2 linked regions of the Mytilus edulis genome follow. The protein of the gene in region 2 purifies or fractionates together with the protein of the main gene of each other region. This does not show direct contact. Links are inferred from orthologs where the notes say so. Each region holds a gene or a part of one and is shown on either strand. Other genes may lie near its edges.

The links.
Region 1: the proteins of zinc finger CCHC domain-containing protein 10-like (region 2) and neuralized-like protein 4 purify together in Homo sapiens (co-immunoprecipitation; 3 studies listed by BioGRID and IntAct, with this or other methods). This does not show direct contact. The link is inferred for Mytilus edulis from reciprocal best matches to the Homo sapiens genes ZCCHC10 and NEURL4.

What each region holds. Positions count from the first base shown.
Region 1 is NC_092356.1:70,054,783-70,063,305, reverse strand, and holds the start of neuralized-like protein 4, read right to left. Parts: upstream 3,400-8,523; 5' UTR 3,364-3,399; coding exon 3,181-3,363; intron 1-3,180. Other genes in the region: spermidine synthase-like, read left to right, coding at 3,460-3,590, 4,814-4,934, 7,862-7,954. UniProt on the Homo sapiens protein: Promotes CCP110 ubiquitination and proteasome-dependent degradation. By counteracting accumulation of CP110, maintains normal centriolar homeostasis and preventing formation of ectopic microtubular organizing centers.
Region 2 is NC_092351.1:39,843,611-39,851,932, forward strand, and holds the start of zinc finger CCHC domain-containing protein 10-like, read right to left. Parts: upstream 3,228-8,322; 5' UTR 3,101-3,227; coding exon 3,060-3,100; intron 1-3,059.

The sequences.
Region 1 (8,523 bases), on a different chromosome or scaffold from region 2:
GGTTACATGGTACGGTATGTGTATGCACATTTACAAGAGATACAATTTGGTTCCATAAATAAATTATAAATTTCAATTCAAACATTGAATAGAGGTATATTTTTTTTAAGTGATTTTTTCCCCCTTAGGCATCAAAAAATTATTTAGTTGCCATCCTTTTATGATTCTTTGTTCAATTTGTATTTAATTCATATTGTTTTATCAATTCACATTATTTTTAGAAGGGAAACTTAAAAAACAGGTTTAAACTGGGGAAGTAACCCGAAATTTCTTTGAAGTGTTTTGAAAGCTTGAAGCATTGAAAAGTCGTTAATGATCCTTAATTAGTACTATGTTTGACACCCAAGTTGCCAAGTGAAGCCATTTAATTACACATTGTCTGTGATTTACAGGTAAAAACAACCCTCAAACGTAATTAATGTTAACTTGTCATTCAAGGTTAAAATATTCAAAACGGTAGATTCTGTACTCCTGTACAGGAGGGTACCGGCAAGCGGGAGATTTCCCGAATTTTGGCATTTAAGGGGGAGTCTCCCGCTCAAAACGTGAGGATTAGCAGGTATGATACATCAAACTTGAAGTGGCCTATGACCATATACAAATGTACATGTTTGCAGTTCCAGATACCTTTTTTAGTTGAATCTGTCATATATGACTTCCATCACCATGTGACCATAAACATGAAAACCTAGGCATCGTTACCTCCAGCCCGAGTTGAACAAACAGAGGAAAAAGTTTGATTTTAGACTGCACAAAATATTTGGAAAATTTAAATCTAATAAGAATGGTCACCCAGACGTATGGGAATCAAGATAATTTCCATACTTACGGAACATAAAATATTGAGGTACATGTGCTACCGTATGGAATGACGATTCTGAAAGTATTGGACACTCTTAATTAGTAGAGCAGGGATACAGGCGCGCCTTCTATCTGGTAAATGACGTCTTCAATTGACAATCTTTTTCAGTGAAAGACTGATACTGGAAGATCATGTTCTGTATATGGTAGTCCAAATAATTACGATGTCTGGCAAGGCTATTTTAAATTTTTTTCTGGGACGCAGGGAGGCAACACAGAAAAAAGTAAAATTGCCTTGCCAGACATCATAAATACTAGAACACACCCACGAAATCGCGTGCATATACAGCTTGTGAACTGCTGTAGGGTGATTTTTTGTAAGAGACATTACATGTATGTATGGAGAATTTCATAAAAGGTATCAAAAGCCCTCTCCCTTTTTCCAAAGTCCGATTATTTGTTTCCTTTCTGTTAAATTCAATTATTTTCGTGTTTCGTGCCTCAGACCACAATTATTCTTCTCCTTTGCTACAATGCATCTTTTGGTAATAGTCAAATTAAATTAAAAATTTGCACCACTTCAAACATGAAATAAATGTAACTGCTTATATAAAGACCATTATTAGTCTAATAAAATATGCTTCTAGGACAATCCATAAGTGCTTTTTCTTTTGAGAGCCTTGTTAACATGCCAATGGTAGGATATGAATCTTGTATAAATAACTAAGACCGACTAAGGCCAATTTGAGGGTGGTCGGAGGGGTCCTGATCCCGAAATCCAGGGCTTAAAAACATGAAATCCTGAGATGCAGAATTTAAAGAAATTCATATCCCGAAATCGAAAAATATATTCCCGGATCCCGTAAGAAACGATCCCCAAATCCCGGGCTTAAAACACACGACCCCGACGTCCCAAAAAAGGTCCTGCCTCCCTCTAATCTCTACCCTACTTTCATTTTTGCCAAATCATTACTTTCACTTCCAACAATAAATTTTTATGACCCATTTATGGGCATTATGTTTTCTAGTCTGTGCGTTTGTTCGTTCATCCTTCCGTCTCATGATCCCGCGTCAGGTTAAAGTTTTTGGTCGAGGAAGTTTTTGATGAAGTTGAAGTCCAATCAACTCGAAACTTAGTAAATATAGTGCCGATGTGGCATCCGTGTACTATGGACACATTCTTGTTTCCACATGTTTTACTTATTTTAATATATATTCAACTGGTATGACTCCTTTTAAAAATAGTAATATATTTCAAAGAAAACTGCAGACAGAATACAGAGAGTCTCTATATATTAAAGTATTATAATCGTAGTTTACATGTAGATAAACGCAAAAAATAATTGTCCTCTCTAAGGAGGTATAATAGTAGTGGTTCTGGCGACCTAAACACCATGATATGGAGAACGCTCTGATTGGCTTATTTATTTTTTCATTTTTGTTATCTATCATACGATTGGTTGTACTTGTGCGTGTTTCAAACCGGAAGTTGATCTATGACTAAAAGTCAGTCTGATGACGTAATCAATATTCGGACTCCTTTTTTTTCGTTTTTCTCCAAAAATAACACAATCTGAATAATCATAAGAATGAATGACAAATGCGACTATGCATGTTACATATAGAACACAGAGGCATGATGATTAATTTATCGTGGAAGGAAGAGAAGCGACACACAAAATGAGGTCTTCTTGTTTTATAATAGTATAGATTTGGACCATGTACATTATGTGAGTTCGTGGTCTAGTGGTTAAGACCGATGGCTACAGTGCTAAAGGTCCCGAGTTCGATTCTCACTCGGGGTGCTAAAAATATCAGTACATCAGAAGGGTAATTTTCACCCTCTCACACACATCTCCGGTACCCAGACCGGAGTTTAAACTAGAATGAGTACTTTGGGGGCCTAGGTTGGTCAAAGTTGTCCCCTACTTTGACCTGGAGATCAATCTTCTGATATCTCTCTGGTTTGTCTGTTTCCACCGAGTGGCCCGGTGGTTCTCTCCAAGTACTTCGGCTTCCTCCACCATAATAACAGACTTCTCTGTGTCCTACACGCTCCCTTGGGCAGTGTTGGGTGGAGATTGTTCTGGTGGTGGGATAATATTGTAAAGGACACATCTCCATTAAACCTTAGGGAGTGAACATGGATCCACTGTACCCTTGCAGTCAATCAAGGGGTGCGTTTAAATTATCGGAATCTCGAAGTACATACATACATGTCAACCCTTCACTCAAATGTTTATGGGTATGCACAGACGGTTTTGGTTAAAATGTTAGCACAGACATATCGCACCATTTTAAGGCTGATATTGGTTTAAGGGACTGGGGAAACGCTGACAAAGTAAGAAAAAATATAAGACATGCTGAGACATGGACAACCTTTTTGTCTATTTTGACTTCAAATAATTGGTCTTCCTTTAATGGGTCTCTGCTAATAGCGACACCATTATTGAACTCTTGGGCGGGATGGTTTCTCTGTGCTGTCCTGTTCTCATTACTCAGTTGGACAAGCGATCCAACCCTTTCATGGAATTTTGGCAAGGGTTCGTCTGAGGAGGCCATTTTCTGGAATCCTCTGATTTTTACGTCTACCTGGTAAATCCAAGAGAACACCCGAAGTTAACAGTTTCCGTTTTTCGGTTCATCAGCTGATTACCAATGGATTTAATTAAAGACGGGTGGTTTAGTGAATTAAGTGAACTATGGCCAGGACAGTGCATGTCACTCCAAGTGGAAGAATTGTTGTTTCATGAAAAATCTAAATATCAGGATTTAATTGTATTTAAAAGGTAAAATTTTATATCTCTCACTGTATAAACAACACACGTGTCCAAACTGTTATTTTATCTTATATGATGCATTTTCAGTCAATGCTAAAATTAAAAGATAAAAGAAGATACAATGTTACTTAGAATTTAGCTGTAAAGAATTATTTGCTTTTTCAAAGTTTTTAATAAGAACATCTAGGTTTTGATGAATGTTTTCCAATTTTTAGTACAACAAGTATAACATGTATAACAATCGTGTATATATTTAGATATATAATAAAGTTAAAGGGCATAATCATTCAGCTTATCATTAGCCTAATATTTTTTTGCTAATTTTGAGAAGAAAAAATGTGAACAAAAAAGGTGTTCAAATATTCTTATTTTACAAGTTTTATTGGTTTTAAGCAAAATATATATTTTTCATAAAAGCAGAATTGTGAAATTATAATTAACCTTAACCTGAAACCCTATCATGGGACATGTACCTATTCAAATAAACATGATAAACAGATCAAAACAACTTATACATATGTCAGTGCTATTTAAATTTTAATTATATGTCAGTGCTATTTTAAAGCTCACTAGAGCTTGTGTTATGTAGTTTATTGAATATCGACTCTAAATAAAACTTTGAATCTTGAATCTTATTTAAGTTAAACTTATATGTCAGTGGTATTTACATTTGCAAGTTAAAACTTAATTGTCAGTGCTATTTGATTTAAGCTTATATGTCAGTGCTATTTAAGTTTAAATTATATATATGTCAGTGCTATTAATTTAAGTTTAAATGTTTAAATTATATGTCAGTACTATTTAAGTTTAAATTATATGTCAGTGCTACTTAAGTTTAAATTATATATATGTCAGTGCTATTTAAGTTTAAATTATATATATGTCATGTATGTCAGTGCCATTTAAGTTTAAATTATATATTCAGTGCTATTTAAGTTAAACTTATATGTCAGTACTATTTAAGTTTAAATTATATGTCAGTGCTATTTAAGTTTAAATTATATATATGTCAGTGCTATTTAAGTTTAAATTATATGGCAGTGCTATTTAAGAAAACTTATATAATGATATATAAATATCAGTGCTAATAAAGTTAAACTTATATGTCAGTGCTATTTCAGCATGTTCAGTAAATACTATTTGTCAGTGATCCCTATTTCAGTTAATATTACATGTCAAAGGGTTCCCTCTTTCACTCAGTAAATATTATATGTCAGTGTTGTCTATTTCAGTAAAACTTATGGTAATGTTTTGGTGTTAGATGGTGTAATACAGTGCACAGAAAGAGATGAATTTTCATATCAAGAAATGTTGGCACATTTACCACTGAATTCTCATCCTAACCCTCAAAAGGTTTGCAAATAGAACAGTTTTAAAGGGGAGATCCAATTACCCTAAGGTACATGTAATCCTTACCAGTGAACAGTTTAAAAGGAAGGGGAGATCCAATAACTTGAAGGTAATCTTTACCAGTGAACAGTTTGGGAAGGGGAGATCAAACTATCTTAAGGTAATTCTTACCAGTGAACAGTTTAGGGAGGGGATATCCAATTACATTAAGTTAATCCTTTCAAGTGAACTGTTTGGAAAGGGGAGATCTAATAACCCTTAGGTAATCCTTACCAAAGAACCTTTTAGGAAGAGGAGATCCTATTACTCTATGTTAATCCTTACCAGTGAACAGTTTAGGAAGGGGAGATCCAATTACTCCAAGGTAGTCCTTATGAGTGAACAGTTTAGGAAGGGGAGATCCTATCATTCTATGTTAATCCTTACCAGTGAACAGTTTAGGAAGGGGAGATCCATCTACTCCAAGGTAGTCCTTATCAGTGAACAGTTTAGGAAGGGGAGATCCTATTACTCTATGTTAATCCTTATCAGTGAACAGTTTAGAAAGGGGAAATCCAATTACTCCAAGGTAGTCCTTATCAGTGAACAGTTTAGGAAGGTGAGATCTAATTACCCTAATGTTATCTCTATCAGTGAACAGTTTGAGAAGGGGAGATCCAATCAACCTAAGGTAATCCTTACCAGTGAACAGTTTAGGAAGGGGAGATCCTATTATTCTATGTTAATCCTTACCAGTGAACAGTTTAGGAAGGGGAGATCTAATTACCCTAATGTTATCTCTATCAGTGAACAGTTTGAGAAGGGGAGATCTAATCAACCTAAGGTAATTCTTACCAGTGAACAGTTTGAGAAGGGGAGATCTAATTACCCCTAAGGTAATCCTTACCAGTGAACAGTTTGGGAAGGGGAGATCCAATTACCCTAAGGTAATCCTTACCAGTGAACAGTTTAGGAAGGGGAGATCCAATACCCTAAGGTAGTCCTTATCAGTGAACAATTTAGGAAGGGGAGATCCAATTACCCTAAGGTAATCCTTATCAGTGAACAGTTTAGAAAAGGGAGATCCAATTACCCTAAGGTAATTCTTACCAGTGAACAGTTTAGAAAGGGGAGATACAATTACCCTAATGTAATCCTTACCAGTAAACAGTTTAGAAAGGGGAGATCTAATTACCCTAAGGTTATCCTTACCAGTGAACAGTTTAGAAAGGGGAGATCTAATTACCCTAAGGTTATCCTTACCAGTGAACAGTTTAGAAAGGGAGACCCAATTACCCTAAGGTAATCCTTATCAGTGAACAGTTTAGAAAGGGGAGATCTAATTACCCTAAGGTTATCCTTACCAGTGAACAGTTTAGAAAGGGGAGATCTAATTACCCTAAGGTTATCCGTACCAGTGAACAGTTTAGAAAGGGGAGATCCAATTACCCTAAGGTAATCCTTATCAGTGAACAGTTTAGAAAGGGTGATCAAATTATCCTAAGGTAATTCTTACCAGTGAACAGTTTAGAAAGGGGAGATTCAATTACCCTAATGTAATCCTTACCAGTGAACAGTTTAGAAAGGGGAGATCAAATTACCCTTATGTAATCCTTACCAGTAAACAGTTTAGGGAGGGGAGATCCTATTACCATGATTAATCTATGTTACCCTTGCCAGTGAACAGTTTAAAGAGGGTGATACGTTATACTGATCCAATAACCCTTAGGTTATCCTTACCAGTGAACAGTTTAGAAAGGGGAGATCCAATTACCCTCAGGTAATCTTTACCAGTGAACAGTTTAGAAAGGGGAGATCCAATTACCCTTAGGTTATCCTTACCAGTGAACAGTTTAGGAAGGGGAGATCCAATTACCCTCAGGTAATCTTTACCAGTGAACAGTTTAGGAAGGGGAGATCTAATTACTCTAAGGTTATCGTTACCAGTGAACAGTTTTAGAAAGGGGATATCTAATTATCATAAGGTAATCTTAACCAGTTAACAGTTTGGGAGGGAGAAATCCAATGACTTTAAAGTAATCTTTACTAGTGAACAGTGTACAAAGGGGAGATCAAATTACTAGTAGGTTATCCTTACCAGTGAACAGTTTAGGAAGGGGAGATCTAATTACCCTAAGTTATCCTTTCCAGTGAACAGTTTAAGAAAGGGGATAATTATCATAAGGTAATTTTAACCAGTTAACAGTTTGGGAGGGAGAAACCTTATTACTTCAAAGTGATCATTACTAGTGAACAGTGTAGAAAGGGGAGATCCTATTACTCTAAGGTTATCTTTACTAGTCAACTTGTTGGAGAGGGGAGATCTTATTACCCTAAGGTAATCTTTACAAGAGAACAGTTTGGGAAGGGAGATTCAGTTATCCTAAGGTAGTCGTTACCAGAGAATAGTTTGGGAAAGGGAAGCCCAATTACTCTAAGATAATCCTTACTTGTCAACAGTTTGGGAAAGGGAGATCCACTTATCTGAAGGTAATACATGTAATACCATGAATACTCAACAGTTTGGGAAGGTGGACTTTGCACATGATTATTTAAATTAATGTAAGGTCATGAAGGTTCTCTTTACCAAGTCATGTAAAAATCTAAAATCTTTAACCTTCATCAAAGTTTTATATGAAAACTTTATCATTCAAGGGTACTTATTATACATGTACAAGTGATTTCAGAGTCACCCTTTTAAGTGATTTTTGCATAAATTTTTTTTTTTTTAATTTAAAAAAAAAGATCTGAATTTGTGGTTCACAGTTATCATCAAAAATTGGTACATGAAAAACAGGTATGCAAATAATATGCATACTAATTTTCTTACAAAAATGTTGAAAGGTATTTAAATTGAAATTTATCTCAAGTTCTAAAATGTAACATGTCATGCATTCATCCATTCTCCATGTTCTCAATTTAATGTATATCATTTTAAATTTTCTTTTCAGGTTTTGATAATTGGTGGAGGTGATGGGGGCGTACTGAGGGAGGTTGTTAAACATCCACAGGTGTCTTCAGTATATATGTGTGAAATAGACGAGGTATGTTGATAGGTATTAAGGGAGGTAATTATATAATCAAGCATTAACTGGAGTCATCAGATTATATGTGAAAAAGATTAGATTGTTAATACAACATTTATTTGTACAAGTATCAAACCTCCAGAGGGTCAATAATTAATATAGTATGCTCAAACAGGTATCTTTGTTGTATGAAAGTAAGTCCTTACTTGAATTGTGAATAAGTCACATGTTACCAGGTTACAGATAAAACAAAGTGTTCTTGGAAATCCCTGTGAATGTCATGCATGTATCACTAATGAAGTTTATGTAAATATAGGTGTCATTGTGATAATAGAAAGTTAAAATAACTGCCTGGCATATAACAAGTAATAAAAAATACCTATATGAATAATTCCTGTAATAGCAGGTATTTCAAAATACCTGCCAGACATATATAACAAGTCATCCAAAATACCTTATTATCTTTGTCTCTGGATATAAACATGGAATTAAAATGTATCTGGGTAAAAACAGGGAATAAGAAATATCTCTTGGTAAAAACAGGTAATAAAAAAAAATTGGTAAAAAAAAGATATCTAGAAAATACG
Region 2 (8,322 bases):
TATACCATGTATACTAAACATTGTTTTTTTTTTGGTTATTATTTTTCAAATATATTTCTTTTTTCTAATAATTTAATTATATATACATGTATGTAGACTTATTGAAAACTAAAGTTTACAATGTACCAGGGCTGCCAAAATGCATTAGACTCACGCATGTTCATGCTTTTTTGGTGCCATTTTCCATTGATCTATTGTTTTTTCTCTTTGATTTTTTCAATTTTGGCCAAATCTCACACATTTGCTTCATGGAATGTTGGCAGAACTGATGTACATTTAATAGGCACTTGTCTAAATCTAAAGAAAATACCCATATTAAATTGTCCCTGTACTTCATACAGAAACAGTGGCTGATCCAAAAGACGGGGGAGCAGCCATTTTAAAAGGCAGTGGCTATTTGACCGGCACCGGCTAAATAGCAAATTTGCTATTTGACCGGCACCGGCAAAATAGCAAATTTGCTATTTAGCCGGCACTGAATAAAACTTCATTGATGTAATAAGTAGAAAATAAAAAAGCTTAATAATAATTTAAAATCATTTTATCACAATATCAAGCATTAAAAATACAGTACAATAAAAAATAATAATATTGAAGATGTGTAAAATCTATGGTTTAAATATCCTGCCATGCTATAAAAATAGTGTTATGTAAAACTACACCGTACATCTTAAAAAAGACAATATTAAAAGTTGTTTGCTACGAATTTCAAAAGGACACATGATTTAACATTTGCAATTGTTACAAAACCAATTCTTTGCCTTTGGAAGTTGTTTTAATCTAGCACAAGATAAATGTTGCCACTCCAAACAGGAACTTCACATTACACTGGCTTCCTTTGAATCTGCATCATGTGTGCATATGTTGCATATGTAGGTAGGGTTCTTTTTCTTCTCTTTATAAACGCTCTTAATAGCTTCTCATGCATCTTTTCGACAATAATTAAATCAATGTTTACAACAACCTGTTTGCCAATTACCGATTTGATTCTATTAAGACACACTTTTTAAGACTTTTGTTTGTTTGTTTCTCTGTCCTATATTTTCTCCTATTTATCTGTTTATTTATTGTAACCCTGTCGTGTAATGTTGTCATATTAATGTTATAATTAACCACGTAATTAACACTGTCATTAAAGCGGGAGGTTTGGCATGCCACAAAACCAGGTTCAACCCACCATTTTTTCATAAAATGCCCTGATTTCTTTGGAACTTTTCTTATGAAATGGCACACAATTGCTTTTTCGGGTACTCTTTTTTTGAAGACCGATGACAGTTTGGGTCAAACCTTTTGGCCTTCCACGTTTCTTCATATTTGGTGGAAGTAATATATGCGAAACACACGATCCACAAAGTTCAACTGGAATCCAATAGGTGTTCTTCTTGTTGAGCAGTATCTCGTTCTTCTTCTTGCGAAACTAGTTTTCGTGATTTTTCGAATATATGAACATTATCAATGAACATTATCAGTATCATTTTCCTTATTGTCTGTTACATTTATATCATCATCATGTAACAGAATTTGTGTCTCCCTGTGTTTTGTGCTTTGAGAAATTTTTCTCACTCTTTTTGGTGTACATACATGTATGATAGAGCACACTGATGACTGGCAGTGGCGGATCCAGAAATTTTCATAATTAAGTGGGGCCCACTGACTGACCTAAGAGGGGGCCCGCTCCAGTCACGCTTCAATGATTCCCTATATAAGCAACACATTTTTTTCCCAAAAAGGGGGGGAGGCCTGCCCCCCCCCCCCCTAAATCTGCCTCTGACTGGTATCATCAAATAATCTATGTGATGTCCTGACTGTGTTAATCTTCCAACGATCTGACACTGCTTCAACAAACAAATTTTCGTGATTAACTTCTCTTAGTTTGAGTATATGCCTACACGGGAGAAGCACACTTTGATGAAAGATACAAGAGTAACTTTTTGAATTGACCCTCATTTGGCCTTGGCTTGTTGTAGCTGTCCATATAATCTCTCTTTCTGCTCCAGTTTTACTTCAGACCTGAGTGAAAACTGTTTCAGGATATATGCCCAAGCATATGGTGTCACCAACTCTTGATATCTATATTCAGGTGAATCATTCCGGAGAATGCTGAAACAGTCCTCTTTTGAAATATACCACTTGTCTTGAGGTCTCGTTCTGTTCGCAAAGAATTTAAGGCGATCAGAAAGTGTTCAGCAAAATCTGGTAATGTGGAGTAGTGATGTGTAGTACAGATTTTTTATAAATATTTTTAAGTAAAAAATATATTTAGTAATGTTACATACAAATGTGTTTTCATGCTTTTAATTAATATTATAAAGTTATAAATTATTTATTTATGAACATCTTCAATAATTTTTTTTATTGTACTATATTTTTAATGCTTGATATTATGATAAAATGATTTTAAATTATTATTAATCTTTTTTATTCTCTATTAATCACATCAATGAACAGTTTTATTCAGTGCCGGCTAAATAGCAAATTTGCTATTTTGCCGGTGCCGGTCAAATAGCAAATTTGCTATTTAGCCGGTGCCGGTCAAATAGCCACTGCTATTTTAAAAATGAAGGAAATTAAAGGAGGGTCCCCAACCAAGAATAAAGGGGGGATTTCAACCATAGTTCTACAAATATAAATCCAAATGCATTTACATGTAGGGTTTAAAAAAACAGAGTTACAACCACTGTACCACCTGGATCGGCCACTTGGGGGACCTGGAGTTGGAATCCTACTTTTTTTTATGATCAATGGTTCAAAATGGGACAAATGGTTTTAACTCCTTTTTAAAAATGGCTGGATCTGCCCTTGAGATATACAAATTTTGGCAACTAGTTTAGAACAAGGATTTGTAAATATTTTACATACCTTGTTCAGGACAGAAGTAACAACAATTATTTCGTGTTGACTGTTGTAACTTTCATAAGGTAATCATTTAGTTGTAAGCAGTACCCTGACCGTAACATACATTTATGTTTGTATATATGATTTTTCAGTAAATTTTGTTGTGTAAAAACAACCATTTTTGTCCATTTGTTATTATTATTAAACTCAATAGTTTTAAATACCTTTTACGAAATGACGGTGGTCGAAACGTGAAAGAAGTCATTCTGTTACTGCAGTATGAAATTGTTATCTAGCCTTGTAACTCAAACACTTTTACTCTCAGTATCTGGTTAAAAAAAGAAAAAATACGTTTCCCCAACTACTACGGGGAGATAACTCAAAATATAAAGGAAATTTTGAGTCGGACGCGGATAACAGAATTACGGAATTACAAAGTTTCCGCTCACTGCGGAAAGGAACTCATGCGACGAAAGGGAGGATAACATATGGTTTCAAATAATTGTATGTGATTTGATTTTTAAAAATCTGTTGGCCCGAGAACACAGCTATTTCGTAGGGTATTTCTTTTAGACATCTAAACATGCTAAATGGAAATTAAAAAAAAATCCCACCTTCGCTCTCTTAATAATACTTTTACAGTTTTCGTTATAGATTTGTCTTTTTTTTTTAAATAAACAGAACCACATATAAATTACTCCATATTAATATGATACATAAAACGATACCAATAGTCACCAGAATTTCGCTACTCTCAAATAAATATAGATTATGAATATAGTATTATCGTCTTTGGAAAAAAAAAGTTTACGAGAGGCGAACAATACTTATAGATTATCGTTGGTCATCTCAACGAGATTGATTTTCTCGCTTGAGCTGGTACAGCGAAAGTGAGAAAAGCAATCGAGTTGAGATGACCAATGATAATCTGTTTATCGCTATTTTACCTATGAGTACGTTGTCAATTTCATGTCAATTTCGTTAGCAACGCCACGTGGCCTCCTTAGTTTCTAGCGATAATTTTTCCATCTCAAGCGAGAAGCATGATATGAAAATTATCACAAAAAAAGATCAAAAGAAAAATGCACAAAATAGCGATAATAAAGGGATATTTAACCTCACAAGTTGAAAACAGAACCGTCCCTCAGTTTAGATTTCTATGTTGTGCTTGTGTTCTATAGTTTTTCTGTTGGTCTTTTTCTTTATATAGCCATGGCGAAGTCTGTTTATTTCTGATCTATGAGTTTGAATGTCCCTTGTATCTTTCGTCAGTTTTTTACAATTCCATTGCAAAGTCGAAAAACGATCAAAAACAAATAAGACCCCGTTTACAATGACAAAAAGATCTATCTTTACTAAGATCCTTGGTCCAGTGTAAACGGGTAAGATCGATCCTCAATCGAACTTAAGGTAGCACAATACAAGGATTTTTCATCCACAATCAGACATCTTTAAACTGATATAATTCCACTCATCTTTCTTTAAATTTTCTAAATGAGGTACCAAAAGAAAGAACAAGGATTAATCTTTCAAATTGTGATAATTTCATTATGACATAATTATTACATAATTAATTGTTATGTAATTAGTTGCCATTCTGTGATGTTCAAACTTGAATGAAATTAGCTTCTTTGTTCTTCATAGCATCGGGCTAAAAAAAAATATAGATTCTTGCACAACACAGTTTGACCTCCAAAACTGTGTCTGAGATTTTTCCTCTTGTATTTCATTCTCTCATAAATCTTCAATGAAGCTTGCAACATCAATTCATTAGAGACCGCTAAATTCAATTGGGTATAAAATTTGTTCTATTGATGTTTTTGGAAATCTGAGACACAGTTTTGGAGGTCAAGCTGTGTTGTACAAGAATCTATAAAATATTTTGGATGCTATTATGACCGGACTATTTGGACAGTGCAAAGAAATTAGTTTTTAAACAACATTTTAGTATTTCAATTGTTAAATGTATATTTAGGTTTTGTATTTATTTTATTAATCTATACTTTGTCGTAAATTCAGGCATAAGTGTTTTACACGGATGATGTGTCATAATCTTGGACAAAGATCTTAAATGCATTTACTCTATTTATTTCATTATTTATTCTCTATGACAGTTTAGACTATAATTCACAAATACGTGTCGGACATTAATTACTCTTTTAATCTATTGTTATTTCTAATTTGCCATCTGTTAATCTGTTTAATCCTTTAATTGCTTGTGCTTATATATATTGTTATTGTTTGTATGTGACATTACATTTAGTTTGGAGTTTGTTGTTCGGTCTTGCCGGACTGCTGAAATAAAAGTTTTAGGAGCGGAATATTCCTTCTTGATTTACATTTAGTCGAATAGCTATTTTACCCGGCTATATCTGGTGTTAGGACGTACGGGCAACGCATCTTTCGGATACCTTGTTCTACCTGTGAAGCTGATCCCCCAGCAAACAGAAAAATGGATACGCAGAGAAACAGAAATTTCGGCCGAGACTGGAGATACCAGATGCCTGATCATGGAACTACCTGTCAGACAAGAAATTTTCAACATATGGACAACTGCCTATGTAAGTTTTGTGGAAAGACTGTAAACAATCAATTTCATTTTAGACAATGTATAGCAAAAACGTCATTTTGCTATAAGTGCAGAAGTTTTGGACATTACGCCAGAATGTGTAGTTTTAACAGACAACCGGACGTGAAAGTTGTCAAAGTTAAATCTAAATCAAAGTTACGCCGCGACGCAGAAAGGATGAGAATTTTCAAAGAAAATAAAGCTATGTCAATTTTTCCATGTGCCGAACTGAATACAATAGAACTCCTGGATTTCTTCCCAACTTTAGACTATAACAAGGAATATATAGACAACGTTAGACTCAGGTACGACCGAGTGCATTCAGAGAGAGTCAAATTTGAAATCAAAAGTGTTCATTACGAAAAGAAATTCAAAGAGCTGAAACAAGAGCATAACAGTGTAATTCGCAATTTAGAAAAATTTCAAAAACAAGGTGCAGATGATAAAAAAGAAATAGAAAAATTACAGGAACGCAATACGGATCTTAAAGCAGTTCATTCTCGGATATACGATCAAAGATGTAAAGCCATCGACCAGCAATATCAATTACAGCGCGACAAAGAACGTATGTTGAATCGCATTACAACACTAGAAGACGAACTGGACAATATTCGGGAAAATACAAGACAAGATAACCATTCAAATCAAAACTATCGATACAGAGGACGTCACAATCACAGAAGAAACTTTCGGAACAATTTCAGATGAATATGATATTAAGACCCGGGTCGTGTCTTCAGGGGCCGCGGGAATATATGACCGGACTATTTGGACAGTGCAAAGAAATTAGTTTTTAAACAACATTTTAGTATTTCAATTGTTAAATGTATATTTAGGTTTTGTATTTATTTTATTAATCTATACTTTGTCGTAAATTCAGGCATAAGTGTTTTACACGGATGATGTGTCATAATCTTGGACAAAGATCTTAAATGCATTTACTCTATTTATTTCATTATTTATTCTCTGTGACAGTTTAGACTATAATTCACAAATACGTGTCGGACATTAATTACTCTTTTAATCTATTGTTATTTCTAATTTGTCATCTGTTATTCTGTTTAATCCTTTAATTGCTTGTGCTCATATATATTGTTATTGTTTGTATGTGACATTACATTTAGTTTGGAGTTTGTTGTTCGGTCTTGCCGGACTGCTGAAATAAAAGTTTTAGGAGCGGAATATTCCTTCTTGATTTACATTTAGTCGAATAGCCATTTTACCCGGCTATACTATGAAGAACAAAGACGCTAAATTCTTTCAAGCGTGGACATCACAATTTAGCGACTAATTACATAATAATTAATTATGTAATAATTATGTCATAATGAAATTATCACAATTTGAAAGATTAATCTTTCTTCTTTCTTTTGGTACCTCATTTATAAAATATAGAGAAAGATGAAATGAATTGCATCAGTTTAAAGTTGTCTGATTGGGAGTGAAAAAATCTTTGTATTGTGCTACCTTAAAAAGGAATTTTTATTTGAATCGGTCTTTTTTTTGGTAGATCGATCGGGATCGATCTTTTTTCCAGGTGAATGTGATATTTAGATATAATTACATTAGATGTATGTTTCATTATAATACGTTATAATACGTTATTATGATTGGCTAAGTGCACATCACATGTTATTCCTTGAGCAATTGCATTACACTATAAAACTTATCATTCATGATAACACGTGGTCCCACAATAAAGTGCACAGGTAAATTAAATCAAAAATTGATAAAATTCGTGTTTTCATAATCCTAACTAAAAAATGTAATTATAAGTATTGAATGCGTTTTTTGTAACTTCATAGGGTTGTAAAAGCGTTGACCGTGCGCACATTTTTAGAATGAAGCGCTTCCTTGTTCATACAAAATGTACTTCGGTCAACGCTTTTACACCCCAATGAAGTTACAAAAAAAAGCATTCAATTCTTAAATAAAATTATCATAATGATTTTAATTCAATAATCTGACAGTGATTTACAGATACGATATTTTCAAAACTCGCAGGATGCGTTCCGGGGGACACGTAGAAATACCGCGCGTCCGTCCGTGTGACTGATCTTATTAACGCGCTCACGTGTACAATAATTATTCTTGCCAGATCTAAAAAAAAACTAAACTTTTAGTTTATATCAGATATATGTGGGACATTTTCGAAAATCTGTGCCGATCAAATATTTTTAAAAAGATGTATTCCCGTCTGAAATATTATTTACATGGACAATTATATTGAAAGTTCTCTTATGGAAGATTTTCGTCAAATTTGTATCAAAGATTTTCAAGCAAGGTCTTTAATAAGTTTCAAAATCAGTGCTGTACGTTTTTATAAAAGAGTTACCTTGGAGATATTGATTGTATTTGAAAATGCGTTGTATTTGCTTAATCATTCATTTTTCTTACGGCGAAAAATAATTTAAACCTAAACATTTAACACAGAATGATTCTTGTATTACAGCGTAGAGAAAAAAAAATTTAGTTGAGAAAAAAAACCAGATAACATTTTGTCATGCCTATGCTGTTTCCAGTGACATGTTTTTGATTTCATTAATATTACACTAGGTCTAGTTTAGTGCAATAACATGTTATAAACCAAAATTACGGCAGAACAACATCATCACTTCATTGAAGGGAGTAGTTATTTTACAGCAGCACAAAAATGAAGAAATGTCTCTATCCTTTTCAAAAATGAAAATAATAAGTAAACTCATATATTTCCTCATATAGATAGGCTTAAAATCAACAGTATGTATCGTCGGTACTTTGTCGCAAACGAATTAAAAAAAATGCAAAAGCGCGCGATTTTTCAGTTGACGTCGGCCGACGCAAAATAGTCCAATTTTCCGCGTAGGACTACTCAGCGCCACCGAATAACAATTGGCCAAAAAGCCACATCCGGTTGTCCTACTGGTCACGTCTATCCT